5 linked regions of the Coturnix japonica genome follow. The protein of the gene in region 1 binds, or shares a complex with, the protein of each later gene. Links are inferred from orthologs where the notes say so. Each region holds a gene or a part of one and is shown in the gene's direction. Other genes may lie near its edges. The genes, in order: TIMM29, TIMM22, TIMM10, TIMM10B and AGK.

Region 1 (4,080 bases):
CGGTTCTATGGGATCAAGACTCATGGGCCGGTTTATGGGATCAAGACTCTCATGGCCGGGTCTATGGACAGACTCAGGGCGGGCTCTAATGGATCAACTCATGGGGCCGGTCTACTGATCAGACTCTATGGGGCGGGTTCTATGGGATCAGACTTCGATGGGGTGGGCTCTATGGATCGAGACTCTGATGGGGCGGGTTCATGGAGATCAAACGTCTTGGGCCGGGTTCTATGGGATCAGACTCTATGGGGCCCGTGGTTCTATGGGATCAGACCTCCTATGGGGCCGGGTCTATGGGATCCAGAACTCGATGGGGCCGGGTTCTCTATGGGATCAAGACCTATGGGGCCGGTTCTACTGGATCAGACTCAATGGCCAAGGTTCTAGGGCCGGTCTATGGCATCAGACTCTATGGGCGGGTCTATGGCATCAGACACTATGGCGGGCTCTATGGGATCAGACCTTGGGGCCGGGTTCTATGGAGCCACGACTCTATGGGCCGGTTCTATGATCAGACCTATGGGGCACGGTTCTATGGGATCAGACTCTTGGGGCCGTGGTTTCATATGGGATCAGACCAATGGGCCGGGTTCTAGGAAGACTCTATGGGCCGGGTCTAGGGATCAGACGACCTATGGGCCGGGTTCTATGGGATCAAAGACTCTAGGGGCCGGGGGGTCTATGGGATCAGACTCCATGGGCCGGTTCTATGGGATCCAACTCGCTATGGGGCCGGTTCTATGGGATCAGACTCTATGGGGCCGGGTTTCTATGGATCAGACACATGGGGCTGGCTCTATGGATCCGGACCCTGGGCCGGGTTACTATGGATCAGACTCTATGGATCAGACCAGGGCGGGTTCTATGGACTCAGACTCTTGGGCTGGTCTATGGATCAGCCTCAGGGCGGTCTATGATCAGGGTGGGAGGGTGTCTGAAGGGGGCTTAGGTGTTGGGGGTTTGAAAACAGCCCGATAGCACACAGTCTGGTTGACGGGTGGGGGGTTTGGGGAGGCTAGGGGGTGTTGGGGAGTGGGGCTATTATAGGGGGGTAGGGGTGTTTTGGGGGTATAGGTTTGAGGGGGGGTGTTTAGGGGATCACACCTCGGGTGCCGGTATGGCACCTTGGGGCCGTATCACACCATCAGGTCCGGCTTCCACACTGGGTCCGGTATCATCGACTTTGGGGATCGCCGGTATCACATGCATCAGTGGTCCCGGTATCACACCTGGGGTGCCAGGAGCAACCTTGGGTGCCCGGATCGACCTTGGGTCGGTATCACGACCTTGGGGTCCCGGTATCACACCTTGGGGTCCCGGTATCACACCTTGGGGTCCCGGTATCGCACCTTGGGGTCCCGGTATCACACCTTGGGGTCCTGGTATCACACCTTGGGGTCCTGGTATCACACCTCGGGGTCCCGGTATCGCACCTTGGGGTGCCGGTATCGCACCTTGGGGTCCCGGTATCACACCTCGGGGTCCCGGTATCGCACACCAGGTCCCGGTATCACACCTTGGGGTGACGGTATCGCACCTTGGGGTCCCGGTATCACACCTTGGGGTGCCAGTATTGCACCTCAGGGTCCCGGTATCGCACCTTGGGGTCCCGGTATCACACCTTGGGGTGCCAGTATCACACCTTGGGGTCCCGGTATCACACCTCGGGTCCCGGTATCGCACCTTGGGGTCCTGGTATCACACCTTGGGGTCCCGGTATCACACCTTGGGGTCCCGGTATCGCACCTTGGGGTCCCGGTATCACACCTCGGGGTGCCAGTATTGCACCTCAGGGTCCCGGTATCGCACCTTGGGGTCCCGGTATCGCACCTTGGGGTCCCGGTATCACACCTCAGGGTCCCGGTATCACACCTCGGGGTTCCGGTATCACACCTTGGGGTCCCAGTATCGCACCTTGGGGTCCCGGTATCACACCTCGGGGTCCTGGTATCACACCTCGGGGTCCCGGTATCACACCTCGGGGTCCCGCTATCGCACCTTGGGGTCCCGGTATCACACCTTGGGGTGCCGGTATCGCACCTTGGGGTCCCGGTATCACACAGCACCGGGATGGTTCTAACAACCCCCCCATTAATAGGCCGCTGGTTCCGTGCCGTACTTCGGGACTACACGGAGGCGCTTTGGGACACGCTGCGTTGGGCCCGGCGCCGTCCGGTGGCTGCGGGATCCGTGTTGGTATCAATGGGGGGAGCTGTGGCCGCCATCAGAACCGTCCCGGACCGACGTTCATTCGACGCGGCGCTGCTGGACGCCGCATCCGCGCTGCTGCTGCTGCCCCCCAACACTCGGAACATGGCGACCGAACGTCACGTCCAACGGCTTCAACGGCGCCGGGACCGCGGGCAGCTCCGGTACCGGCAGCTGGTGCTGCTGGCCGTGCTGTACGAGGAGCCGCACGACGCCGCCGTGGCGCTGTACGGAGCTCGGTGTCCCCACGTACGGCCCCGGTGGAAGCGGGTGTGGGACGTGGGGTTCGCCGGGCGCTGGTGGGTGCTGGAGGCGAAGCTCCAGGACTGTGACATTAACGATGAGGAGTTCGCGGCTCTGCCCGACGCCCTGCAGCGGGTCCGGCCCGAGCAGCTCCACAGCGACGGCACCGAGCGGCTCCGGGAGCGACGGGAACGACCCACAGTGCTGATGCCACGGGGAGATGATGGGGACTGAGCGGGGCAACGCGCCGGGAGGGTGGGACTGGCCGCTATCGGTACCGGCGGTTATTGGTACCGGCAGCTATCGATACCAGCGGTTATCGGTACCAGCAGCTATCGGTACCAGCGGTTATCGGTACCAGCCGCTATCGGTACCGGCGGTTATCGGTACCGGCAGCTATCGATACCAGCGGTTATCGGTACTGGCAGCTATTGGCACCGGTGGCTCTTGGTACCGGCAGCTATCGATACCAGCGGTTATCGGTACCAGCCGCTATCGGTACCAGCGGTTATCGGTACCAGCAGCTATCGATACCAGTGGTTATCGGTACCGGCAGCTATCAATACCAGTGGTTATCAGTACTGGCCGCTATTGATACCGGCGGCTGTTGGCACCAGCCACTATTGGTACCAGTGACTTTCAGAACCGGCGGCTCCTGGTACCAGCAGCTATCAGGACCAGCAGCTCTTGGTACTGGCCGCTATCGGTATCAGTGGCTCTCAGCACCAGCGGTTCTTGGTACCGGCGGCTCTCAGAACCGGTAGCTCTCGGCACCAGTGGCTCTCAGTACTGGCAGCTATTGGCACCGGTGGCTCTCGGTACCGGCAGCTCTCGGTACCGGTGGCTCTTGGCACCAGCGGCTGTCGGTACCAGCGGCTGTCAGCACCGGCAGCTATTGGGACTGGTGTCTCTCGGTACCGGCTGCTATTGATACCGGCAGCTCTCAGGACCATCAGCTATCGGTACCAGCAGCTCTCGGTACTGGTGGCTATCGGTACCGGCGGCTATTTGTCAGTACTGGTAGCTCTTGGTACTGGTGGTTCTCGGTACCAGCAGCTCTCAGTACTGGCAGATATTGGTTCCGGCAGCTCTCGGTACTGGCTGCTATCGGTATCGGCGGCTCTCGGTACCGGCGGTTCTTGGTACCGGCGGCTATTAGCACTGACAGCTATCGGGACCGGCAGCTGTCTGTTGGTACCGGCTGCTATCGGTACTGGCCGCTGTTGACATCGGCGACTCTCGGTACCGGCGGCTATAGGGACCGGTGGCTCTCGGTACCGTCGTTTGTTTGTCGGTACCGGCCGGTGTTGGACATTACAGTGCATTCATTGACCCACTGAGCGCTGCAGCCCAGTGCTGCTTTCAGCCCTCCATAAACGAGAACCCCAAATCTGCGCTTTTTCAGCCCATTTTGAACCACTTCGTCCCCCTCTCCCCAGCCCCAAAGCTGCCCTATATGACCCATTTACCCCCTATTTCCCCCCCATTTTCCCCCTTTTCCTCCTATTTCCCTCCCATTTCCCCCTATATCCCCCTTATTTCCCCCCTATATCCCCCATTTACCCCCTATATCCTCCTTGTTTTCCCCCTATATCCCCCCTTTCCCCCCTATTTCCCCTCTGCCCATTT
Region 2 (4,347 bases), on another chromosome or scaffold:
TTCTTCTCCTTATGCCTTGGGAAAATAGGCTTTGCAGTGTGACTTCAAGATCAGCCCAACTAGGTTAGTGTGGATCAAAGAGAAGATTGAGATCTACAGTTCAGGGCTCCTTAGGGAGCTCAACCTGCCACCAACCTCCTCTTTTGTATAAGGATCCCATTGTAGTAGACATTAACAGCAAGCTTTGCAACAGCTTCTGACCTTAAGATATAAAAAGCCTTAAAGAGTAAAAGAATAGTGGGGGAAGAGCTCTGGGCAGGTCTGATGGTCCAGCCAGCAGAGGGCAGTGGAATTTAATAGGAAAAGAGGAAAGTTATTGAAAATAACACCATCACTTCATTTGAAGAACCATCAAACCAGGTTGTTATTTGAACCTGCGTATCCAGCACAGACAAGATACAGGGCAAGAAATGTTAAAAATGAAAAGAAATAGAAAATAAATGATTGTGGATCCTTTGGGTTTCTAAGCAGTCCCCATTCAGAGCAATGAATGGCATCAGGAAGATGTCACACTTAACACATCACTTAAGAACAACCAACAGATCTTTGATATCGTTTTCAGTTCTCAGCACAACGATCTGAAGCCACCTCATCTCATCTGCTGAAACCACCTCAGGGCTTCAAAACCTGTGGGCAACTTCTAAAGTTAAACCAAGCCAACATTGAAGCCAACCAGGCTATTCCTTCCAAGCAGACCCACCTGCATCGTGCTGGGCTGAGCAGAGCGCTGCTCCTGCTGCACAGAACAGCAACACAAGGCACAGAGCGTGTGGGTGAAGGCTTTAAACCTTGGCAGCTCCTCCTCGTTCAGCTGAGGGGGGGCACAGAAGAAGAGTTTCCCACCCTGCTACCAAACAGGGTAAGCGCGGAAGGGCTGAGGTTTCTATATGACTCGCTGCGAGCTCGGTTTGCATTTTATGACAAAAAGACAGACTTTTTTTGCTCTCTAAGCACCTTTGATGTCAAGCTGCCTCTCCGTGTGCCCGGGGCAGCGCAGTGCTGCTCGGATGGGCCGCAGGATGATCCCAGCACCACGCACAGCTCAGCTGAGCCCTGAGTGCTACGAGGGGGACACCCACCCGCAGGGCTCAGCCCGGGGCTGTGCAGAACGACCACGGCAGGACCCGCAGCTCTCAGCCCCGTGTTGAGGTTGAGCTGTTATCCCTAAAGATAGAAGTCACTCCGGGAACGGAGCGACCCCTCAAAGCTTAACGACCCCTCCGAGCTTAACGACACACCGGAGGCAGATCGGCCCCGCACTGCGGCTCCTCATCCCTCCCCATCCCCGTGGCCGTCCCATCCCCGCTCCATCCCCCCCGTAGCCGCTCTCACCTCCTATCGCTGCCTCTTATCGCAGTCTCCTATCGCTGCCTCTTATCGCTGCCGCCCCGTTGGATGCTCGTGCAGCCGGAGCGCTCACCTCACTGCACCGCCCCCAATGGCCACCAGGGGGCGCTGTACGCCGGGTAACGGGGCTCCCAGCCCTCAGCGCGGCCAATCGCGTGTCTCTCCGCAAAGCACGCCGAGAGCTGTAGTTCAGTGTCATGGCGCTGCCGCGGGGAACGCTGGGAAATGGAGTCTCGGCAGCGCGCCTCACAGCGGGAGTCTCTGTTAGTGAAACTACAACACCCATCAACCCCCGCGCGCTACGGAAGCCGCGCTGCCGGTTCCTCGTTACGCGGAGGACAATAATGGCGGCCGCACCGCCGGGCGGTTCGCAGCCTCCGCTGCAATACAGCGCTGTGCTGCAGCACCTGGTGGGCGAGCAACGCCGACCCCGAGTGTGGGACCCCAACAGCTTCGGGGGCATCCCCTGCCCGAACAAGAGCGACGAGCAGAAGATGGTGGAGAGAGCCATGGAGAGCTGCGCCTTCAAAGCGGCCTTGGCCTGCGTGGGGGGTGAGGGGGGGTGGGGGACACACGGTGTTGGGTTGGGGCTGAGGGGGGGGATGAGGGTCTGTCAGATCTTAAGGGCAATTCCAGCCCATGGACACGGGGAAGGGGCTCCCACCTTCCCCTCCAGTTTAAGATAGAACTCTCTGTGCTGTGTGCCTGCACTAAAGGGGGCACTAAGATGGTGAAGGGCCTGGAGCATCTCCCCTATGAGGAGAGACTCAGGGAACTGGGTCTGTTTAGCCTTGAGAAAAGAAGGTTGAGAGGGGATTGGATCCAGGTTTATAAATACCTGAGGTGTGGGGGCCATAGTGGTGAGGCTGGTCTCTTTTCAGTAGTGCGTGGGGACAGGACTAGGGCTAATGGGATGAAAGTACAGCATAGGAAGTTCCTTAATAAGAACTTCTTTACAGCGAGGGTGACGGAGCACTGGAACAGGCTGCACAGGGAGGTGGTGGAGTCTCCTTCTCTGGAGATATTTAAGACCCACCTGGATGCCTACCTGTGTGATGTGGTGTAGGGAGCCTGCTTTGGCAGGGGGGTTGGACTTGATGATCTCTAGAGGTCCCTTCCAACCCCTACAATTCTGTGATTCTGTGATCAGATCAGTGTCTGCAGCACATCAGCCCTTCATGCTGCCCTTAAGACCAGAGCAGCTCTAACCCTGTGAGTGTTGGATCACTGCTCCAATCCAGAGCTTCATTTCATAGCTGTTGTCTTCCCCAGGGTTTGTTCTTGGAGGAGCCTTTGGGATCTTCACTGCTGGCATCGACACCAATGTGGGCTTCGACCCCAAGGACCCGTATCGCACCCCGACAGCCAAGGAGGTGCTGAAGGACATGGGGCAGCGCGGCATTTCCTACGCCAAGAACTTCGCCATTGTGGGCGCCATGTTCTCCTGCACCGAGTGCGTGGTGGAATCGGTGAGTAACGACCCTCAAACGTTACTATGGGAGCTTTTATTATACACCATTGAGCGCCTTTCATGAGTCCAAACCACTGTGGTGAGGGATTGGCTCGTTGCCTTTTGCTTCTTGATCATTTAAGCTTTTCAGTTCTAAAGGTTTTCAGAACTGTTCTGTGTTGGAATAAGCAGAGCTGCATGCAACAGTGAAGAGCTTTCCAGTTCAAGTCCTGGATTTTGGCATTGATTTTTGAAACTTTAGCTCCAAACAACTCATAGTTGTGTTAAAACATCAAACTGGGAGTTGCAACGTGGCCATCTGAGCCTCTAAAAAGTACATGTGAAGAAAGGGATCCTTTGATGAAAGATCTGAAGTAATAGGGCTGTTTTCATCTTGCCCCTACAGCAGGAAACGACCTCGTGCTGCTCAGTGGTAAAGCTATCACCCGTTTTCTTAAATAGGAAGATGAGCCTGTTATGAATGTCAGTACTGTCCTTCAATCGAAAAACACAATTAGTTCTTAATCCGTGTAAAAGAAAAGTGTATCTGTGTGCACAACGAAGCAGAACAAACACGTTGCACTGGTGAAAAACTAGCTAATAGCTAATGTTTGCCCGCAGGCTGCTGTTTGCTCTCATGGCTGCATGGCCATGCTGTGCTCACAGTGCCTTTAAATTGTCTGTGAGCTGGTGCCGGTGCACTGTGCTGCCTTGTGGGGGCTGTATGGGCTCATCTGAGAGTGTGCTGTAGCACTGCATTGCACCATGCGGATGTGTCTTACCTCTCCTGCTGACCTGCTCCTTCCCCTCCTCCTGGCCACATAAAAACTTTTACAGTGCAGGGGGGCCATCTGCTGAGAGCAGAAGGAAAAGCATCCTCATCTGAAACAGGGCTGGAAGGCTTCACCTCCCTTGGTGTTAGTACAGATGTCGAATTGTTATTCCATGTTTACTTGTTGTCTCTTGTTTTTTAACTCCACAGTATCGTGGAAAGTCAGACTGGAGGAACAGCGTTATTAGTGGCTGCATCACAGGAGGAGCGATTGGCTTCAGAGGTTGGTGATGCCTGGTAGCAACTGCTGTGATAAGGCAGCAATTTGGGATGGTAACAAGCAGCATTTTTAAGGCAACGCACGCTGCAAATCTCTCTGTATGGGGTTATGTTGATGTCAGCATGAGAATGTGCTTGAAGTTGGCAGAACTGTCATCTCTGTCTCTTTCCTGTCATCTTGAAAGATATGTGTGGGTAGGGAAGGCTGGTTGTACAGGACAGGGAGAGCGGAGAGAAATGAACAGAAGTGACTTGAAAGCAAATGAGGAAATGGTGCTGGTAGCTCTCCACATGCTACTGGGGTGTCATGGAGAGGGAGCCAAAAATATGTTCTGAGCAACTCGCTGAAGTTACAGCTCTTGTGTTAATAGAGCTCTACTTAGATATATTGTTTCACTGGCAGGAACTCTGTTAACTTGATCAGCTTGTACAATGCCTCCCTCCTTTCTCCTGTCTCAAAGAGGCAATTCTATGTAGCTGTACAAGAGCAGGAGCACTG
Region 3 (2,518 bases), on another chromosome or scaffold:
CTGCCATGCTGACCTCACTCACAGCATCCCCTACTGCCTCCCCCTTAGCCTCACTCCCACAGTTCTTCTCTGCTTCTACCTCGCCCCCAATCCTCGTATCCCCTGCACTCTCCCCCCCAGCGCCCCCTTCATCCCCCCCAGCCTCCCCCTGCCCTTCCTGTGCTGCACTTTCCCCGCTGTCCCCCCCCACCATCCCCTCTGTGGGCCCTGTTGATGTCTGTGTGAGGTCACCCAGGGCAGTGTCATTTGGGGTTGGGGCTCCATCGGTTGTTGTGGACTCCATGCTCCTACTGTGGGCTGCAGGGTTGTCACTGAAGTATCCACCGTGCCTTCCACCCCATGCAATCCCATTGCACTTCTGTCCCTCAGCGTTCCTCCTGCCCGCCCACCCCATCGGCCCCAACACAGCTCCCAGTCCCCATCCCATCCCCATTATTTATCCCTTCCCATCCACCTCGACCCAACCCCCACCCCCCACTCCTGTCCCCAAACCCCTCCCTCCCCCCTGCACACCCCAACCCAACCCATTCCCCATTCATGTTTTCCTCCTGCCCCCTCCCAGCTCCTCCAGCTCAGTCCCAACTCCACAACTCACTCCCTACCCCCAACCCCGACCCCCCTCCATCCCGTCCTATCCTCGTTTCTCACCCCAAACCCCCGACGTCCCCCCCAGCCCCCCGGCGCCCCATATCCCGGCTCACCGCTCTCCGCTCTCCCCGCGGCCGTGTGACCGCCGCAGGTGCCGCCTTCAGTCAGCGCCGACGGGGCGGGTCGGGGGCCGGAGAGGGGCACAGCGGGGAGGGGACGGGACGGGACGGGGGGGAGAGGAGGCCGGGCGGGGCCTGGGGATAGCGGGGACTGCGGGATGGAACGGGGACACAGGGACACGGACACGGGGGGACGCGTGCACGTGAGGACATGGGGGGACGTGGAGGCGATATCGGGGGGATATGAGGGTCACGAGTGGGCACGGAGACACGGCACATGGAGGAGATGGGTGATGCGTGGGACACGAGGGGACACGGGGGACACATATATGGGAGAGAAGGGTGACAAAGGGAACACAGAGTGCCCTGATCTGTGGGGGGACATAGGGGACACATTGACATAGAGGGACACGGGGCCATAGACCCGTAGCAGACACAGACACGAGGGGGCAGAGCCGTGAGGGCAGACCCACGGGGACACGCGGAGGTCACGCGTGGGCCGGGCCGGCCCCGATCCATCCCTGCCCTCCATCGCCTGCCCCCGCCCACCCCGCTCCGCACCGCTCCCCACGTCCCATCAGCGCTGAGAACGAGCCGTTGTCCCGCCCCCACCCGTCTCCTATTGACCGAGAGCGGCGGCGGGGCGGAGCGCCTGAGCGTGTGGGCGGAAGCGCGTCCCACGTGCATCCTGCGGGAGCGCGGTGCGGGAGCGACATGGACCCGCTGCGGGCACAGCAGCTGGCGGCAGAGCTGGAGGTGGACATGATGGCCGACATGTACAACCGGTGCGCGGCCTGACGGGACGGGCCGGGGCCTGGGGGTAGTGCCCGGGACAGGGAGGGGCTGGGAGAGCGAGAGGCGCGTGGGTGTCGCGGGTGGGGGCTGTGCGGGGGCTGTGCGGGTGCCGGGGGTGGGGGGTGCCGGGCAGAGCCGTGGGGTGACGGTGTTGTCCCTCAGGATGACGCAGGCGTGTCACCTCAAGTGCGTGCCCCCACACTACAAGGAGGCGGAGCTGTCGAAAGGCGAGAGCGTGTGCCTGGACCGCTGCGTGGCCAAGTACCTGGATGTGCACGAGCGGATGGGCAAGAAGCTGACGGAGCTGTCGCTGCAGGACGAGGAGCTCCTGAAGCGCATGCAGCAGGGCACGGGCACCGCCTGAGCCCTCCCTTCGGACTCCCCTTCCCATCGTACCAATAAACTGGAGGCTCTGGGCCAGCTGTGTGCTTCCCTCGGCCCCCCAAACCCGTCTGTGGTGCTGTGTCAGGGGGTGTCCCACTAACCTACTGGAGATGGGGGCACCCCGGCGTGTCTGCTGTGCCCACGTCAGCCTCGGGGATAGGCTGAAACCTTCCTTATCCCTTATGGGGTCAGGACAGGGCTGTGCCCCTCACTCTGCTTGCTGGGGGGACACTGGGGAGCACCTGGAGAAATGGCCACAAAGGGACACCTGCAGGGGGGCAGTGAGAAAACAGCACACCTGCATGGGGACAGGCACAGAGACATTTGGTATGGATGGCTGGAGAGGGACAGTGCCCTTTCCACACCTGGAAAAGGACCACACAGGGACACCCACGTGGGGACACTTAGGGGGGGACACCTGGATGGAAACAACCCCAGAGCCACACATACAGATGTGCACACATGTGTAGGGAAGACCTGCACAGGGTTACTAGATGGGAACACCCAGCCAGAGACACCCCAGCCTGGGGGTGGGCACTGTGTGTCCATCCACCCGTACACACACAGTGCGCCTGTGCCGGTGTGTCCCCGGGGCTGGCTGGAAGTGGGTCAGGCTGCGCGCACACTCACTG
Region 4 (2,967 bases), on another chromosome or scaffold:
CTGGGGCTCAGAACCCTTCTGCCCTGTCCCCCTCTGTCTGAAAGGTGTCTCTCAGGTGCAGCCACCACAGCTGTGCCAGTACTGTGCACCTTTGGGGCTCTTGGATACCCAAGAGCTGAGCCCACACATCACACCAGTGCCCCAGGAGGGCAGAGCAGCTCCCTCAGCAGAAGCCCTGCATCTACGAGAGAGCCAGGCATCTCCACAGCTGCCTGTGAGCCAAGGGCACGTGCAGGGTAAGAAGTGCAGCTGGGTGGAAATCACACCCCCAGGATGGGCCCCACAGCATTGGCGGGGTGGCAGCAGTGCTGTGCTCTGGGGCTGTGAGGAGGCTGAGCTCTGCAGGGCCACGTGGCTGTGACTCAGGACGGCCTCAGCTACGAGCAGAGCTGCTGGGAGCAGGGACACAGACTGGCCCCGTTCAGGGCTGCAGCAGGGTGGGCTGTGACCCCAGCACTGAGCCCTAAAGCCTCCAGCAGAACACCCAGCTGACCCCCACCCACAGCCCCGTCCCTGTGGAAGCCGTTTGTACCTTTGATGGTGCCGGTGGGGATGATGCCTTCAGCGGTTCCCCCGTAGCCACCAGACACGATGCTGGTTTCGTTGAGGTTGGGCCCCGACACCATCACTTGCTGCAGGTCCTGGGGGAGCAGAGCATTAAATTGAAGCACAAGGACAGACCCCCAACCCATGGGGCCGACGTGAGGCCCCGGCGCAGCCCCACACCTGCTCCAGGCCGTCATCTTCGGGCAGGCTGCCGGCGTCCCCGTTGCTGCTGATGGGGATCTCCATGGTGGCGGCTTTGCTCATGATCCCATCCGACATGGTCAGGGCCTGCGGGGACACACGGTTCGTTCACGGGGCTCCTCGTGTCCCCTCGGTCCGAGCTCCCCACGGCTCCTGGCGCGGGGCTCGGGGCCACGTCGGCAGAGCGCGGCAGGGCCCGGCCGGACCGGTCCGGTCACATTCCGAGCATCGCCCCGCCCGCACCGAGCGCCGTTATCACGAGCTGGACCCGCCCCTCGGTACCGGCATTGGGGGCAGCGCTGCGGCCCGGCCCGGGACTCGCAGCCGCCGCTCGGAGCCAACGAGCACCGAGAGCCCGGGCGGGACGAGCAGGAGCGACACGAGCAGCGGCTGCAACGGCACCAGGAACCGGGACGGGACCGGGGCGGCCCAAAGGCCGGGCTGTCACTGCACGGCCGGGCCCTGCGGCGGCACCGGGGCTCCCAGCCCGGCTCCCACCCGGGGCCCGACCTTCACCCCGACCTTCAGCCCAGCCCAGCCCAGCCCAGCCCGTCCCGTTATGTCCCGTTATGTCCCGTTATGTCCCACCTGCCCCGCCCGGCCCCGCTGGGCCCCCCCGCCCCGGAGGCTCCGCGGCCTCGATCCGCCTCGGCCCGGACGCGCCGGAAGTTACGTCACGACCCGCGCGGGGGGCGCCGGGAGACCGAGCCGGAAGTGACGTGCTGTAGATCCCCGAGCGGAAGTGCGGCGGGGCGGAAGTGCCGGTACTTCCGGCAGCGCGGGGCGGGCCGACATGGAGGCGGCGGCGGCCGAACAGCAGCAGCAGCTCCGCAGTGTGAGTGTGGGGGGACGGGGGGAAGATGGTGGGCGGCCCGGTTCGGTTCGGTTCGGTTCGTCCCGGTTCGGCGGTGCCGGGCCGTCCCGGTGACCGTACGTGCCGCTGTTTTGCAGCTGCGGGACTTCCTGCTGGTGTACAACCGCATGACCGAGCTCTGCTTCCGCCGCTGCGTCTCCGACCTCGGGCACCGGCTGCTGTCACGGCGCGAGGTGAGCGGGGACCGGGCGGGACGGGACGGGACGGGACGGGACGGGGTGAACGGAGCCGAACGGAGCCGGTGCCGCCCGTAGGAGCGGTGCCTGGACGGCTGCGCCGGGAAGCTGGTCCGCTCCAACCACCGGCTGATGGGCGCCTACGTGTCCTTGATGCCCGGCATCGTGCAGCGCCGCGCCGCCCGCACCGAGCACAGCGCGGAACCGGCCGCACCGGACGGACACGAAGCGGCTCCCGCTGATCCCGACGCGGCTCCCGCGGGCACGTAACGGAGCCGCGGGGTCGGTGCGTTGCCGTGGCCGGGAGGTGGCTGCGGGACGGTCACCTGATGGCAGCTCCCGTGTGGAGCCGCTGAACTGCCCGGTGTCACAGCCGGGCCAGGCCGAGCCGCGTTCTCTGCACCCACAGCAGCAGCCGGGACTGCCCGACATGGCGGCCAAAACCGGCAGCACAACGGCACCGGGGGCAGGAGGAGGAAGGGAACGTGTATGAGCTGCTGTGTGCACTGCAGCTCCCGGCTGGAATCCAGCACTGACTGGGCTCCTGCTGTCCAGAACTGAACATCTTGTGTTTGTATTTGACCATTTCATGGGGTTAATAAAACGTTTTATGTGTCGTGCTGTCAGTGTGTCACAGGGGTACACGGACACTGCTCCACAAGCAGCGCTGTGTGCTGCGTCCTGCTGCCAGCGGCACCTTCCTCCCAGCAAAGGTTCCCACTTTGCTCCTTCTAGGAACTGTTTCTTTGTGTTCTTGCTGCTGGAGCAGCATCAGCACAGGCTGCAGCTCCCAGCCCTGCAGGCATTCAAGGCCAGGCTGGATGCGGCTCTGGGCAGCCCTGGCTGCTGGTTGTGACCCTGCACACAGCAGGGGGTTGGGATGGATGAGCACTGTGTGCAACCCAGGCCATGCTGTGATTCTATGCTATGATTCTGTGATACCCTGTTCCCTGGCTTCCCTCTGATGGGTTTCATTGGCACTTAGAAGAGTAGACAAATGCACACAGATGTAAGGTCTTTAAGTGCCAGTAATTGAGACAAGTCGACCTTCGTTACTTAAGCTATGGGAAAACCAAAGATCTGGTGAACATTGGAGGCCCCTAAGATTATTTTCCACCTTGTGGACAAAGCATAAACTGGGTACGTTCTCCAGCAAGTCCATAAGCTGCC
Region 5 (3,573 bases), on another chromosome or scaffold:
GGAATAAGAGTCTCTGGCATAACTGTGTTCCAGAATTTTACTCCACAATGAGAAAATTATTTGGGGAGAATTGTTTCCAACTTTTTCTTTCTGTGCAATGTAACTGTAATGGTTTAATTTTCAAAGTTCATTCCCAGCCTATCTATACTTCTGAAGATGAATGGAAGTTTTCCTAAACAGGAATCAAAAAATTTAATATTTATATGGGAGCGATAGTAAGCGTGGTATGTATTTAATAAATGTCTTTTGTCAAGTCAATTAATGGCAAGAGCACACTGCCAACAGAACTGGAGAATACTCTCTTTCAAGGCGGGTTGTTTTTTACCAAAGTATTTCCTGGAATGCTAAGTACTGATTTCATCAGGCAATGGCTAAATGAAATGCAATGATTTTAAAAGAAAGTGGTTGGAATCCATCTAGACGTTTCTCCTACCTTAAAATCAATTATTGTTAATTGTACACTGAACCGTGCTGTTCTAGAATTTATGCAGGGCTGTCTGGGTCTATTCTATGTTAAAACGTTTATGCTGGCATCAGTTGTGATGTCAATACATACTCATGTGCACTCAGCTCTGCTGTTTGCACCATGTTTGCTCACTGGATTTGTGTCCTTTCCCATGCAAGCAATAGTAAAAAAAAGAGTAGCTGCTTCTTAAATCTTTGCAAAAGATAAATATGTATAATTTTTCATAGCTTTCTACTGTCACTGCAAACAGAATTCTCAAAGATGAGCCTTTCTCTTGTTTTCCAGGTCATAACTGGACTTCTTCGCAGAGCGGATGAGGTGAGGAAGTTTATTTCCTAGAAAAGGTGTCTTGTGAATCCACTGTGATCTCTTGGTCCAGCCTGGCTTTTGCAGATGTTGTTGCTTACTAATACCAAGCCAGTTTACTATGTAATGAGGCAGCCATGCTGGTGTCCTGCAATACTTCCCGTTGTTCTTCATTTCCTTTCTTGGGGAGTACAGTGTATCTCAAGCCATGTCTTTGGGGAATTTCCAGCTACAGAGCAGGATTTATTAAGGAGCCAAATGCACAACTTTCAGACACCTATATACAGCTGTGTATGCTTTGTGTGGCACTAGTATTGGGCAAAAAATGCAGGTTTTTCTTGTATTTGTGCAGACTTGAAACTGAATTTAGGTTTGCCCATGCCCATGGTGTTTTATGATTGTTTTGCCTTTTCTTCAAGCAGTGAGTCTCCCTGTGCAGATCGCCACAGAGAACTAATTGTAACCTCTCAAGGTAGATCCCTCTTAATGGAAATGAGATTTTTCTGAAAATCTTCTGACAGTGCTATTGAAGAAACCCAAAACCTTCTGGCAGGAGCTGGCAAAAGCTGAACTAAATGATCCAGAGAAGATTCTGATGGTATCCTTGGCAGCTAGAACTGTATCTGTTTAGGCAGTTGCCTTGTCTGAGTGTGGCAAGAGAAACTCTGCAGCTCTGCCAGTGTTTTTTGTGAGGTGCTAGCTGTATTCATTCTGAGACATCATGTGTTCTTAAATTTAGTGTTGTTATAACTGACCCCTAAGACCTCTGCAATCTAAGGATTCTGAAAGAAACATTGTGGAGGCTTTACTGGCTAGTTACTTCTTTTGTATTTTTGTCTTATCTTGATGTAGCTCGTGTTGATCTGCAGTAACAGAAAATTCTGCAACCAGTACTGTTTTTGGGTGGATTACTGCCCTGTGACATTGCCACTGTGTCACTTCATGTCTTTGGCCTGCAAATTCTTCTTGCCCTTCATATCACTCTGTCCTAGGAGTGAAAACCTGCAGCTCAGTCCCCTCAGTTTGAGCTCTGCTTCCCTTTCTTGGGTATGTCATGCCACTGTTGTCTGGATAAGGAGAGCTTGTGCAAGGTGTTCCAGAAACATGGGTCCTAGTAGCCAAGGGAACAGAGCTTGCTGCATTTGCTGTGAGCAGCCTATCTTCTGCAAGCTGTAAAGCAGTGCTGAAGATGAGCAAAGGATGTTTGAGGTGTGTTAAGACTTGCAGGTGAGACAGAGATAACAAGGGAGAGCAGGTAGGCATGAAGTGAGAGCGATGTTGTTTAGCCAGCATGGATTTGCAGTGCTGTGGCACTGCTGATAGCAGCACCCAAAAGGGAGATGGTACATTGTGATATGCAGTAGTTTACACTGATTTGCTGACATGATCCAAGAAGCACAGTTTATTTTGAGGTACAGTGTAATAACTTGCTCCTCCAACGAGCTCTTTTGCTGAACTGAAAAGTAACATGGTCAGTGAGTTTCAAAAATTAGACCTTCTGCTGCTTCGTGATTTGGATGCAGGAGGAATCCACTAATTTCCTTTTCTTAACTGAAAAAATCTCTTTGCCATACAAGGTTACTCTACCAGAGTGGCATTTCTGCAGTGGTAAATGAGATTCAGAGCTTGCTCTGGCTCCATCAGTATTAAGAAAGATGGCAGATTGCTGACAGAATCCATGCATTAGTTAGGATGTGTGTGCCAACCTGCACGTAACAATGCTTGTAATGATTACAGAGAGCTCCTTTGCACCCAGTTGGCAGTGGTGGGTTCAGAGATTTGGATGCCATGTTCTGAGTCATTATGTATTACTGCCTCATTTAAGGAAGTGCCTGGCTGCTTAGTGCCAGAGGGGTGATATCAGACACAGCTGTGGTCTCCATACAGAAAGCTTCATTCAACTGATGCAAATGTTATTTTACTCCCCTTGTGTGTCCAGGCTGCTTTCAGTAAGATTCCTATAGGATTCATACCTCTTGGAAAGACCTGCACATTGAGCCACACTCTCTACCCTGAGAGTGTGAACCAAGTACAGTAAGTATTAAGTGTTTCTGAAATGCAGCTTTTGTTTGTTTTCAAGAAGCAGTGCTTCTTGGTAGTTCGACGCTTTCTTTTTCTTCTATATTACATAGAAATTGGCGGTCTCTGGGCAGAGCCTGATGATTCGGTTTGATATAAAATTGTTTTGTCCACTTCGAAACTGAAGTCTAGTCAATTAATCTCTCTTTTCCTCACACTTAATTCCCTTTTGATATTTCCTTCCTTTCCTTCCATGCTAACAAGTATATTTCTCCTTGCTACTGAAATCTGTTCACTCTGGTTCTCCCAGTGACTAATTAGCATTCTTATTCAGTGGGCCCTTGCTGGTGTCCATCACACATAAAGTCCATGATCCAACTGGCATAACATCCTTCATTAATGCCACCGGAGTGCTTTGAAGCTCAGCAGGATGGACAAGGTTGCAATCAGTAGCAAAGATTAAAATAATAATTTATATTTGAGTTCTAAAGAAGCTGTTTGAAATGAGTAATCTTCTTGCCCCCAGGTAATGAACTGTGCAGGTGATACTGCAGCATACCGGTGAAGCTGAAAGGAATTTGGTCAGTAGGTTGCTGAACAACCCACACATGTATCAGAACCTGACTTTTGGAAGTGATATTTTATAAAGAAACACTTTGGTTCCTTTGTCACTGTTAGAGCTATTCTTTGGAGTGTAGGAATTGCAGAGATAGTGAGGGAAGGCAGGAGCCAGGAGAAAAGAAAGTCTGCGAAAGAAACAGCTTCCTTCTCTGTCTCAGTGT

What was found.
Region 2: TIMM29 (region 1) and TIMM22 share a complex: the UniProt entries of both Homo sapiens proteins name them as parts of the TIM22 complex. The link is inferred for Coturnix japonica from reciprocal best matches to the Homo sapiens genes TIMM29 and TIMM22.
Region 3: the proteins of TIMM29 (region 1) and TIMM10 are in contact, whole or in part, in a cryo-EM structure (PDB 7CGP), measured with the Homo sapiens proteins. The link is inferred for Coturnix japonica from reciprocal best matches to the Homo sapiens genes TIMM29 and TIMM10. Residues at the interface, in NP_612367.1 of Homo sapiens: Asp181, Asp183, Ile184, Asp186, Phe189, Leu192, Leu196, Arg197, Val199, Gln203, Leu204, Ser206, Asn209, Glu210, Leu212, Phe213, Asp214; in NP_036588.1 of Homo sapiens: His30, Arg31, Lys32, Cys33, Pro35, Pro36, Leu43, Ser44, Lys45, Gly46, Glu47, Ser48, Val49, Arg53.
Region 4: TIMM29 (region 1) and TIMM10B share a complex: the UniProt entries of both Homo sapiens proteins name them as parts of the TIM22 complex. The link is inferred for Coturnix japonica from reciprocal best matches to the Homo sapiens genes TIMM29 and TIMM10B.
Region 5: the proteins of TIMM29 (region 1) and AGK are in contact, whole or in part, in a cryo-EM structure (PDB 7CGP), measured with the Homo sapiens proteins. The link is inferred for Coturnix japonica from reciprocal best matches to the Homo sapiens genes TIMM29 and AGK. Residues at the interface, in NP_612367.1 of Homo sapiens: Tyr145, Gln146, Cys149, Arg150, Tyr151, Leu152, Gln153, Arg155; in NP_060708.1 of Homo sapiens: His33, Asn36, Arg39, Arg40, Cys43, Gln44, Gln47, Asn51, Lys82, Pro86, His89, Leu90.

Annotation. Positions count from the first base shown.
Region 1 is NW_015439913.1:16,259-20,338, forward strand, and holds TIMM29 (mitochondrial import inner membrane translocase subunit Tim29), read left to right. Parts: upstream 1-1,280; 5' UTR 1,281-2,070; coding exon 2,071-2,685; 3' UTR 2,686-3,846; downstream 3,847-4,080. UniProt on the Homo sapiens protein: Component of the TIM22 complex, a complex that mediates the import and insertion of multi-pass transmembrane proteins into the mitochondrial inner membrane.
Region 2 is NC_029534.1:5,110,379-5,114,725, reverse strand, and holds the start of TIMM22 (mitochondrial import inner membrane translocase subunit Tim22), read left to right. Parts: upstream 1-1,529; 5' UTR 1,530-1,544; coding exon 1,545-1,899; intron 1,900-2,619; coding exon 2,620-2,816; intron 2,817-3,779; coding exon 3,780-3,852; intron 3,853-4,347. UniProt on the Homo sapiens protein: Essential core component of the TIM22 complex, a complex that mediates the import and insertion of multi-pass transmembrane proteins into the mitochondrial inner membrane. In the TIM22 complex, it constitutes the voltage-activated and signal-gated channel.
Region 3 is NC_029520.1:7,775,200-7,777,717, reverse strand, and holds TIMM10 (mitochondrial import inner membrane translocase subunit Tim10), read left to right. Parts: upstream 1-1,353; 5' UTR 1,354-1,421; coding exon 1,422-1,492; intron 1,493-1,664; coding exon 1,665-1,866; 3' UTR 1,867-1,953; downstream 1,954-2,518. Other genes in the region: SMTNL1 (smoothelin-like protein 1), read right to left, coding at 1-394.
Region 4 is NC_029516.1:174,017,828-174,020,794, reverse strand, and holds TIMM10B (mitochondrial import inner membrane translocase subunit Tim10 B), read left to right. Parts: upstream 1-1,460; 5' UTR 1,461-1,540; coding exon 1,541-1,582; intron 1,583-1,698; coding exon 1,699-1,794; intron 1,795-1,875; coding exon 1,876-2,067; 3' UTR 2,068-2,083; exon of another isoform or gene 2,084-2,206; 3' UTR 2,207-2,418; downstream 2,419-2,967. Other genes in the region: ARFIP2 (arfaptin-2), read right to left, coding at 533-641, 727-825. UniProt on the Homo sapiens protein: Component of the TIM22 complex, a complex that mediates the import and insertion of multi-pass transmembrane proteins into the mitochondrial inner membrane.
Region 5 is NC_029516.1:55,068,964-55,072,536, reverse strand, and holds part of AGK (acylglycerol kinase, mitochondrial), read left to right. Parts: intron 1-751; coding exon 752-784; intron 785-2,711; coding exon 2,712-2,806; intron 2,807-3,573. UniProt on the Homo sapiens protein: Lipid kinase that can phosphorylate both monoacylglycerol and diacylglycerol to form lysophosphatidic acid (LPA) and phosphatidic acid (PA), respectively. Does not phosphorylate sphingosine. Phosphorylates ceramide.